Nothobranchius furzeri: one gene and its partner. The protein of the gene in region 1 purifies or fractionates together with the protein of each later gene. This does not show direct contact. Links are inferred from orthologs where the notes say so. Each region holds a gene or a part of one and is shown in the gene's direction. Other genes may lie near its edges.

Region 1 (5,246 bases):
GAATTGTTTATTTATAAACCTCATCGGACACCAGTATGCAGGCTTACGATACCCTTGTATGAGTTGCTCCTGGTGGTCCAGAGGGGTGTGGTTGAGTGGTGAGGTCACCGGACGTCGAAACCAAAAGACTCCGAGATTAGTAGCTTCCTCTGAGCTCAGCTTCCCCAGCCATGAGATGCAACCCGGGGTCTGCAGATTAGGTGTCCAAGGTGGATGTCTGAGTTCAAGTAGCTCTGAAAAGAGCTGTTGTGTCTTTAATCACTTGCAGCGTTGCAGAAAGGTTTTGACTTAAGGCCAAACACATTTGTTTCAGAAGAGGCTTCTTTCCCGATTTGGCCGAATCGGGGGGTCAGCTGGAATCTGAATTACTCGGGAAGTAATTCTCGTTTTAATAAACTCATTATTTATAATTTCTGGCGTATTCTGGCAAATCAGAATGTGCCATGACTGGAAGGCTTTACCAAGACATCCCTGAGAAAGCCACGCCTTCTTGTTCATTCATCACATATGATTATTTAACTTATAACTGTAAAATCATGGAGTCTTCACTCATTCAGAGTGAAGAATGTTGATGTCTGGCGTTCACACAGAGAGCGTAAGAACCTTGGGTGAGAATGTTTGAATGTTTTGTCTTGATGGAATGTCAACACACACTAAGCAGAACCTTCTGGTTCTGGAAGGCCAAATAGAAATTGGATTTATTTCTGTAGATGAAAGGTTATTATGTTGATCAATGTCTAGGTGAAAATTGGCCCTTTTGGTACGTTACAGTGAGGATCCCACTTGGACGTGTCTTTAAAACCATAAGATGAAGCGCTAAAAGCCTTTCTTGTAAAGAAATTTGTTTGTGCCATCACCAGACTCCATCTTTGACTACAGCTAAAAAACTACAGTATAGCGCGATGCAGTTGTCATTTCCGCCTTTTTACTGATTGGTTATTTTTGAGCTGGCTAGTCCCGCCCCTCACTGGGCGCTCAGTATCCAGACTCATCCTCTGTGTAGAACAGACAGGGGACAAGCCTGGCAGGCTGGGCTAATATCACCCAGCCCCAGCTAGGAGATAACTTTTGCTTCTGGTTTTACTAAACGGACACTAGGGGGTGCTAAAAGCAAGCCAGAACTGCCAGGTCTTTTGTTCAACTCAAGCCGTTCCCACTGAAGGAGTTCTAGGACATTTCTGGGAGGGAGAAAAGTGGCCAAGAGATGTGATGGCTCGGTACTTTCAGCTGTCGTCTCCGAGTAAGCCACAGAAATCTCGCCGGCCCCAGCACCACAAGACATCCACGAACATTAATACCATTAAAGAGCCTTCGCCGAGAAACCATTGTTTATTTATTATTTTTGAAAATGATCGGTCTCTCTGAGTTTGGACTCACCCATCTTGACTCACGATGGGGAAGGCCATTGTTGGTTTAGCATCCAGGAAACAGCAGAGAATGCCTCGACTAGTAGAAGCTAACCGTTAGCATTAGCAATGCCACCACACAGCAGTATTCCACCAGGCTTGTGATATTTGTGCATATAAGCATCCACGTTGCAAATCAGTGGTGGAGTTGCGTTGCTGTTATACAGTCCGAGGCGAGATGTCCAAATATCAGGAAATAAGACTCAGATCCTGCCGTCTGACGTTACTTTCTCCCCTGGCTGAATTCTCCACGCAGAAACTGTCGCACCTGAGCTCTTACAAGACATTCATTCCTGCTAGAGGCCACCGCAAATTCAGCAGTCTTTTTCTGTCAACGTGCGTCATAATTTCATCCGGTCGGAGGATGGAAGAGTGGCTGCGTGACGTTAAAAGCGTTCAGTGACCAGAAGAAGCGCCGTTTTCTGTTGTTAATTAAATTTTTCTGGGGGGTTTCTGCTGTTTTTTTTTTTTAAGTCCCATTTAGTCGTCACACACACAGGTGTGTGGTGAAATTTATTCTCCGCATTTGACCCATCCCCTGGGGGAGCGGTGAGCTGCAGACAAGCCGCGCTCGGGAACTATTTGGTGGTTTAACCCCCCAATCCAACCCCTTAATGCTGCGTGTCAAGCAGGGAGGCATTGGGTCCCATTTTTTTCAAAGTCTTTGGTATGACCCGACCAGGAATCGAACCCCTGATCTCCCGATCTCAGGGCAGACACTCTACCACTAGGCCACTGAGGCCACGGCGATTTAAAAGCAGAGTGAATATTGTTTATTTACGTTACATTCTTCTTCACCAGCAGTTCCGAATTTGCAAAAATTGTTTGGCGACATCTGCTGAGGCCATTTCCTACTGAGTTGCAACCAATCAGCATGAGTTACCCAGCTCAGCGGCCTAGTGGTAGAGTGTCCGCCCTGAGACTGGGAGATCAGGGTTCGATTCCTGGTCGGGTCATACTAAAGACTTAGAAAAAATGGGACCCAATGCCTCCCTGCAGGACACTCAGCATTAAGGGTTGGATTGGGGGGTTAAACCACCAAATGGTTCCCAAGTGCAGCTGTGTCTGCAGCTCACCGCTCCCCCCGGGGGGGTCAAATGTGAAGAACAAATTTCGCACACACATCTGTGTGTGTGACAACTGACTGGACTTCAACTTCAACTTTAACTACAAGCTCTACAAGAGTAGCGGGCCTTTTTGAGTACTTGCACCATTTCGGGTTGGCCAGACCGATAAATCTGACCCCTAATTCAGAGGATCACTGTAGTCGCTGTAACTCACAACGAAGTTATTGTAGATTTAATTTTTTTTTCCTCTTTGTCACAAAGGTTCAGGTGGAGAAGATCAAGAACCCAGAGGACCATATAGGGGCGGTGCTGGAGCGAGCCAAGCCCGAGTACATTCAGAAGACCTACCGTGTCCCTGCATGGACATCTGCTCAAGACTTCCTGGAGAAGCTGGCGTTTCGCACGGGCAAACTTCTCAAGGTCGCCCATTGGTTTTTTCATTTTCTGTGTCTCGTTGTGCAAGATTTCAGTTTGGTTTAGTGCTGAATCTGTTTTAATGCAGTGTGTGTGTTTGTTATTTATGTGTGCAGCATGCATTTATTAACAGAAACATTGTTTTGTTTGTGTCATGCAGAGGGGTGAGCCTGATCTCAGCACGGTCTCCAAAATGGTGTTAAATGACTGGCAGAGGGGACGAATTCCCTTTTTTGTGAAGCCGCCGGGTCCTGAGGGAGAAGAAGAAGTAAGAGTTAACGGAGTTAAAACTTTAATGTGTATTTGGTCTCATCAGCAGCCTGTTGCTTTTATTTGATTCTTTTGTATCGGACTTCTTTAGGATGGAAAACCGTTGCCAGTTGAAGCACCTACTGCTGTAGTGGAGAAGGTGCAGGAAGAGCAGCCAGAAAATCTGGACACCGTCTCTGAGGAACAGTCAGAACAGCAGCAGAGACAGAAAGAGCAGGTCCAGAAGATCCTCGCTAACGTCCGACAAAACTTTGGCAAGATCAACGTAGCTCCGGAGTTCAGCGAGGAAGACCTGATTCCAGTGGACATGCCTGACCTGGACGTGTCCGACTTCTCTGGCTCTGATGCTGACGAAGGTGATGGAGAGGAAGATGAAGCCATCGCAAAGCCAGCTGATGAAGAGGAGGGGGTCTCTGAGGCTGTGACTTCTCAGACTGATAGAGCACAAGTCAAAAAGAGTTCACGAGAGGTCATACGGGAGCTTGATGAGAAAATCGCCAAGTATAAGCAGTTCCTGGACCAAGCTAAATCCAAGCGCTTCTCTGCAATTCGGTGAGTTCTTATGTTATCCTACGTGTCAGTCTGCACACCACCCCTCTTTAGTTGATCTGGCAGTAAGATGGCAGGCGGTGCAAAGGAGGTGATCTGTGCACACCGATTCAGGAGTGGCGTTTTAGCTCGTCAGAGGTCAGTTTCTAACACGCATGTCTTGTCCAGCAGACGACAGCTTTTAAATTTGCTTAACCGAGCCTTTCCACTGGACGCGTCGGTGAAGCGTAGTCTGCAGGAGTCAGCCGCTTCAAAGGTGGATGGGTGTTTTTTCTACCAGCTGTGAAGCGGCGCGTTTTGGAGTCTACATTTTACTTGCTAATGTGTCCATTCAAACACAAGAGCAGTGTCAAACATCCAGAAACTTGGAAAAATAAAAGATTTCCAGCTGCTTAACTTGTTAAAAAAATTCGTCTGTCATCACCCGTGAGACCGTTGTAGCCAAAGTCCCACGGACCTTTTTGGATACGTTTAAATCTGCGTGTCATCTCGTAAGCTACAGAAATCACGCAAAGTTTTTTCAATTCTTTGGTGATTTTGTGATCTTGCGAGACTGTCTTGAAACCAGGGTATCCGCGGGTCCTTAAAAGTCTTAAATTAGCTTTTCCAAATTTAAGGCCTTAAAAATCCTTAAAAATGACAAATAATCCTTAAATACAGTTTCCAAAGGTCTTAAATTAACAAAGACCCAATAAACAAGATTCTTTTATTTCTATAAAATTTTCATGAATTTCTAGTTAGTGCAGGATTTTTTGTGTGTGATGTTGGTGTAAGCGGAACCGTACACATTCAGCTGGTTGTGAAAGGGGGCTATGTTTAGATGAGCACATTAGCTGGTTAAGCTAGTGGGAGCTTGAGCCATGGGGAAGGTTAATGGTAACTGGATGGTTGATCCCACGTTCGCGACGTGGTTAGCACCGGTTCCAGGCAATAGCTGGAAATTATAGCTTAAATTTAATTTTAAAAATAGCTTAAATTTGGTCAAAGTGGCCTTAAAAAGGGTCTTAAAATGTCTTAAATTTGGCTCCCCTAAACCTGCAGATACCCTGTGAATGCCACCTGTGGGTAGGGACGTGTCACTGCGCTTGTGGGTAAAACGCTCCAATTACCATACCTGCAAACTTGTCGCTTTTCAGCAAAAATCGCCGTTTTAGAAGCCAAATGTAGCGTTGACGTGAATCGTGTAGATCCAGAGTTTTTTTCTTTCTTTAAGGGGGGAGGGGGTCTTATGTTTGGTTTCAGTCACTCTTTTGGAAATCAATCAGAGAAAGGAGAGGGGATTCCTGTTCACATACAATCTTTGTTCCAGTGTGTTAGTCACATGTCATTTGACCAATCACAGTCAGAGACAGCACGCTGCAGACGATGAGGCAGAGCGGCACTCGGAGTGAGTGTGAGTGCTGTCGCTACAACGTCTCGCGGCGGTTTTGACCTTAAAGTTCATCAACCAGAACAAAATCACCACTAAATAAGAGTTTTCAGTCAGGGACTTTAGCAGATTTACCTTTATAGATTTTTCCCGAGGCTGGGCGTGTTTTTT
Region 2 (5,687 bases), on another chromosome or scaffold:
AAAAGCCCCTCAGACATTACTGACATGTTGTAATGTTATCAGATGAAAAACTAAATTATCAGACATGCTGTCTCATCTGCTGCTATTCTAAACTTGCAAAAAGTAACAAAACCATTTGAAAGCCACTATTAGTGTGGGACAACTTATTTTTTCATTGACCATATCGTCTAATCTCACAACTGAAACAAGCATCCTTAATAATCTGTGCACATGCTTGCCGATGCTGTAGTAAAACAACAGGTATAATAATTTATTATTAATAAAACCTTGTTGCAGCACTAAAGCAGAAAAATGAGATTTTGCAATAAATATGCAAAATATTTACATATTAATTGTTTTAAAGCCCTTTTATTGGCAGAATCAGATATTAATTTTAGTTCTTACAAAAAATGGGTCCCAACATGGTTTGTGTGGCGTTGCCATAGTGTGACGTCATAGGCACAGATCCCCTGTCCTCTTGTTTGGAAATGGAAATATGGTCACCCTACATTAAACAAACTGTCCACCCGGGCTTTTACACTGCACAGAGACGCTTCGCTGCCTATGAATCTGAACGTCAGTTGAGAGTCAGTCTCATGCAGACTGACCAATGAAGAGAGGGCCTCAAGTTAAGACCCTCTCCTCATTGGTCAGTCCACACGGGGTGGGCCAAAGGTTACCCTGAGCGGGTTACGTGATGTCAGGCATTCAAGTATTGAGTATATTTACTGCATATTACAGTAAAATATTCTGTATGTGACCACATTATGGTGATCCTTGGGTCGTGATGATGGGGCCCTTGAATATTGTTGCCCAGGACACAACAAAGTGTTAATCTGGCCCTGCTGTTGGGAAAGAGAGACAACAATTTGCCTGAAGACGGATGTTTAAGATGTCCCTCCCCAGAGTGCATAGCCTCACCCAAGATGCCGATGAAGACATTTACCGCTTTCATATTAAATAAGGTGAAGGGGGATCAGCTTTAGCGTTTCATCCTTTGACAAAATTCCTAAAAAAAGGTTGGATCTTATGAAATTTTATGAAAACTGCTATGTCTCAGTGGTCTCCATTAGTGACATCATTGAGAAATGGTTTTGAGTATTAAAATCAATTAACCTAGGAGCTATTGAAAGAAATCACTTAATTTTTGATTAAAAAAACTAATAAAAATGATCAGATCTTGTGAAATGATAAAAACTGCTGTGTCTCAGTGGTCTCCATTAGTGACATCATTGAGAAATGGTTTTGGGTCCGTCCGTGTCTGGTCGGAATTACAAAGCATTCAAAAACAATAGCAATAAAGTTTTAAGCGTGACATTAAAAGCAGACACTTTGATGCTCCACCTGAGAGTAAATCTGTAAGGCCTGTCACCAGCATTCAAACATCAATTCTGTTTGCTTCACAGCCAGACAGGACACGGTAAAAAAAAAAAAAAAAAAAAAAAAAAAAAGGTTTTGGGTTTATTTACTGATTGAAAAAAATCCCTTAATTTTAGATTAATGTCCTAATAAAAAAGATCAGATTGCATGAAAGTTGTTATAAACTGCTGTGTCGCATTGGTCTGGCTTAGTAACACAATTAAGAAATGGTTTTGTGTATTTTGACTGATTTAGCTAGAATCAATTGAAAAAAATAATCCCCTTAATTTTGGAATAATATAATAAAACGTTCAGATTGTATGAAATGTGTTATAAACTGTGGTGTCTCATTAGTGTGGCTTAGTAACACAATTGAGAAATGGTTTTGTGGATTTAGACTGATTTAACTATGATCTATTGAAAAAAGTCCCTTAATTTTGGAATAAAATCCTAATAAAAAAGATCAGATTGTGTGAAATGTGTTAAAACTGTTTTGTCTTGTAAATGTAGCTTAGTAACACAAGTCATAAGTAATTTTGAGTCATTTAGGAAATTATTCTGGAAGTTTTTGATATTTTTTGTACTCGTTTACAAAGGACTACAAATTTGTTGATAGTCCCTAAGCGAACCACCGTTCACTATAGCGAGTCCTCGGAACTCAGCTAACCGCTGTCTGTGCCGCAGTGCACGGCATGAAGACTTATCGCTGACCGTGTAAACCAATGTCTGTCGAACATCCAACGTCCAACTTCAAGCTAACTTCACCGCGATCGTTGCACATGTGTACAAACGAAATTGACTTTGCGCTCACTAATGCAGGTTCACGTAAAAGGTAGAAAAATTAAATAACAATGAGGCTAAAACACACGCGCGCGCACACGCACGCAGGCGCGCACACACTCGCCCGTTCTACGGTGCAAAAACATAAAAGTATAATACGCGTGCGTGTGTGTGACATGGTTTTGGTCGTCTGTATCATCTCCGGTTCATGCGTCTAGGTGCGCTTTAGCCGACAGAGGGTGCGCGTGTCCCACGACCGTGTTGAGGTGGGAGAGGATCCGATCCGGCTGCTGCCGCCGAGCTCTCCGCTCTTGCTGCTGCTGAGAGGTACCGGAGAAACATGAGCTCCAGGAAAGGTGCGTATCTACACATCACACTTAACCCTACTTAATTGTAAGGTGGAGGCTGGCGGGTTTACGTCTGTCGAGCATCTGGCAGACGACGCTGCTTGACCCTGTTTGTTCCAGCCAGCTTTAAATCTGATGTGGTGATGTGTGTCTGATTTCTCTCCCCGACCCCCTAAACCCTTTCTCCGGACCTCTACTGCAAATGAACTTGGATCATCAGTGATGGCCATTCAGGCCCGGAAGAGGAGGCCAAAGGGGAAGAAGGACAGAGCGGGTCACCATCGGAGGTAAGTGGGGCGGCGGCGGCCGGGATATTGAACCGCTTTTAGTGATATAGTTTGTTGACAACGGCTTTCCCTGTCTGTGTGGCGCCGGTGCCGTCTCACAACAGATGAATGGTTTGGTATGGAGCGTGCACTCTCACCGAAACCGGCTCCTGCTGCCCTGTGGATTTCACCAAGTTATAGTTTGGTCTTCTGGGATCCTCACTTGGTTTATGGTTGCTCATGGCTTCTCATTGATTTTTGGGTTGGGACGTGTTAGAGGTCGTGATGTGACAACTCATTTCCGTGGTCCATTTAGTGAAAAGTCCCCCAAACGTCTGTCAGTGATTCTCTGGTTATGTAACTTTCGTCCAGGCGGTCAGAGCATGGTCTCCCCGGCTCACCTGGGGTATTTCAGCGTGACTTCCCCGGCGTGAGCGGCTTCATGGGACGTGAATGTGTGCAGTAGTGCAGCACCGTATATGCAGACTGGGGGCTTTCTTCATGGCACGATCCTATTGGTGGAACGTCACTGGCTGCACAATGAAAGCATCGATTAGGTGATGCCAACCGACTAGACACCCCACACAGAGCCACAGGAATTTACTGGAAAGCACAGTCGAACATGCAAGAGGTGTGCAAAAGAACAATTATAAAACATCTAAACATCACAAGATACCGTTTGGGGTCATTTGGTTTCCTTATATGCATGCTTATGACGTGAAGAAATATACTTCACACTAAATGAGATCACATCATAAAAATATATATTGTGTAGATTTAGAATTTTTTTTGCAGCAATACAAATTATTGTAAAAGATTAACAAGACGCAGCTAATAGCTCGTGTCTTTCATGCACAATAACACACGTGCACTGTGCACCAAAAAGACTAATTGGATTAAAAGGAAAACAGCGAAATCATGAGTCTGAAATATTTGGTCAGTTTAACCTGAACCCTCCAGCATACTTGCCTTTTTGTTAGGGATGCACCGATACCGATACCAGTATCGGTAAAAGTTAACCGATACCAGGAACCGATACTAATGCACATGGACGTCACTAGGATTGAGATATAGGGGGGGCTTAGCCCCAGGAGCTTGACCTTGAACATTTTTTTCACACCCTGCAAAACTTTGTCAATTAATTCATTATCTGAAGAACATTTAACAGAACCTATTATTTTATCACTTTCTTTTCCTTTCCTACCTTTGTGCATTTTCTCTCTTCTTTTTATAAAAAAATAACAACACTTAATCAGTTCATTAGTGGGGTCTATGTTGAAGAAAGATTTTTTATAAGTCCATTAAAAATTAGATATGTTATATTTCCAAATAAAGCTATTCATTTCAGTCTACGGCACTTAACAGGGGGAAATGTTGCAGTCATTTGTTTAATTTGTTTAATTACAACTTGCTTGATTATAAATGTTACTGAAATATGACAAAGAACAAATGAATAATTGTCAAACTTTTATTCTGCCAAATGAGTGTGCAGTTGACAGTTTTAATATATGAATAACACTGATATGACATGGAATAAAGGAGTATGTAATTAACAATGACAAGACAAAATAACAGTATATATAAAAATTAGGGCTGGGACTTGATTTAAATTTTTGATCTAATTAATTAGAGGCTTTGTAATTAATTAATTAATCTAAATTAATCGCATTTTAATTGTTCAGGAAAATGTGCTCTCAAAGCAAAACTTAATTAAAATTATGAGACAGAGAATTAAACATTAGACATAGTTATTACTGTAAAACTAAAGCTTTTAATAAAAAATGCATTTTAATTAATCAAATGTCACTGTGTGATATGAAACAAGACCCAAATCAACTAAAATTTATAATTACAAAGAGAAAATGCCTGCAAAGGGTGCCTTTAAATAGTCTCTCTGTCTAGTTGAATGACTGAAATAAATTTGACTTTGCGCAAGATTCAAATTTTTCCAGTTTTACTTGTATGTATAATTGGGAGTTTTTATTAGCATTTCTACTCAAAATGTAGTAAAAACACGTAAATAATAATCCTTCAAAATGACAGTGGAACAGGCAGAAATATGATCTAGGACTTAAATGTACTAACTTTTAACACCAGAGCAGGCATGGCATATTCTGAGAATGATCAGGAACACTAACTGGTTCCAGTTGGATGACTGGAGGATGATCGGAAGAAAAAAGATCATGGCGAGGAAATAATGATCTGACGAACAGGTGAGCGGACCTACATGGGAAGTCCTGATGTCACGTTAAGAAGGGGATGCTGCAGACCCGCAGATTCACGCCTGCTGCAGCGAATCTGGTGTGATCTCCAGCCTGATCACAACTTCCTTGTTCCTCGCTGCCCCTGATGCACTTGAGCATCCGCCCCTTAGCTGATGACAGCTTCAACACACCTCGCTGCTTAATGATAGTAATGCATGTGATGTTTAGACAGAGACTCGTCTCAGAAACATATAATTCCCCGACAGAATTGTTTAGAAAATCATCAGAAAAGTTTCAGAGTGTTTCTGTTTTAACTTAAACTTCTGTTTTCAACTTTAACTTTCACGTTGTCTGTGATTGTTTACAGAGTAGTGAGAACACGGAGCGTTCTCCCAGCGGCAGCCAGGTGCCTCTCGTTTGTCTTACTATCATAAACTACTGTTAGGGCACAGAATTAGTCTGTCTGGTGCTTTCAGCGCTGCACAGATGTTACGTAAATGTTAAAAATATAGCTTACCGCAACTTTTGTAAAGTTTCCGGTGCCACCGGGCAGCTGCAGCAGAGACGATCTCTGAAAAATGTCCGCGACACGGACTCCGTTGTTGTCTGGAAGTTTGTTTTTTTCAAGTTAAGAAAAGAGGCGGACGTGTTTCCTAAATCCTGCATCAGTCCAAGCAAGGCTACTTCTTTCCATTTTTATTCCGTTAGTAGCCATTAGCACTGTGCATTGTTGTGTGCGTCAGTGATATTCT

Evidence for each region. Proteins that work in one complex are often made in the same cells at the same time.
Region 2: the proteins of gnl2 (region 1) and srpk2 purify together in Homo sapiens (affinity purification with mass spectrometry; 3 studies listed by BioGRID and IntAct, with this or other methods). This does not show direct contact. The link is inferred for Nothobranchius furzeri from reciprocal best matches to the Homo sapiens genes GNL2 and SRPK2.

What each region holds. Positions count from the first base shown.
Region 1 is NC_091745.1:70,697,755-70,703,000, forward strand, and holds part of gnl2 (nucleolar GTP-binding protein 2), read left to right. Parts: intron 1-2,734; coding exon 2,735-2,893; intron 2,894-3,047; coding exon 3,048-3,155; intron 3,156-3,248; coding exon 3,249-3,709; intron 3,710-5,246. UniProt on the Homo sapiens protein: GTPase that associates with pre-60S ribosomal subunits in the nucleolus and is required for their nuclear export and maturation.
Region 2 is NC_091744.1:58,372,423-58,378,109, reverse strand, and holds the start of srpk2 (SRSF protein kinase 2), read left to right. Parts: upstream 1-2,335; 5' UTR 2,336-2,458; coding exon 2,459-2,474; intron 2,475-2,685; coding exon 2,686-2,752; intron 2,753-5,687. UniProt on the Homo sapiens protein: Serine/arginine-rich protein-specific kinase which specifically phosphorylates its substrates at serine residues located in regions rich in arginine/serine dipeptides, known as RS domains and is involved in the phosphorylation of SR splicing factors and the regulation of splicing.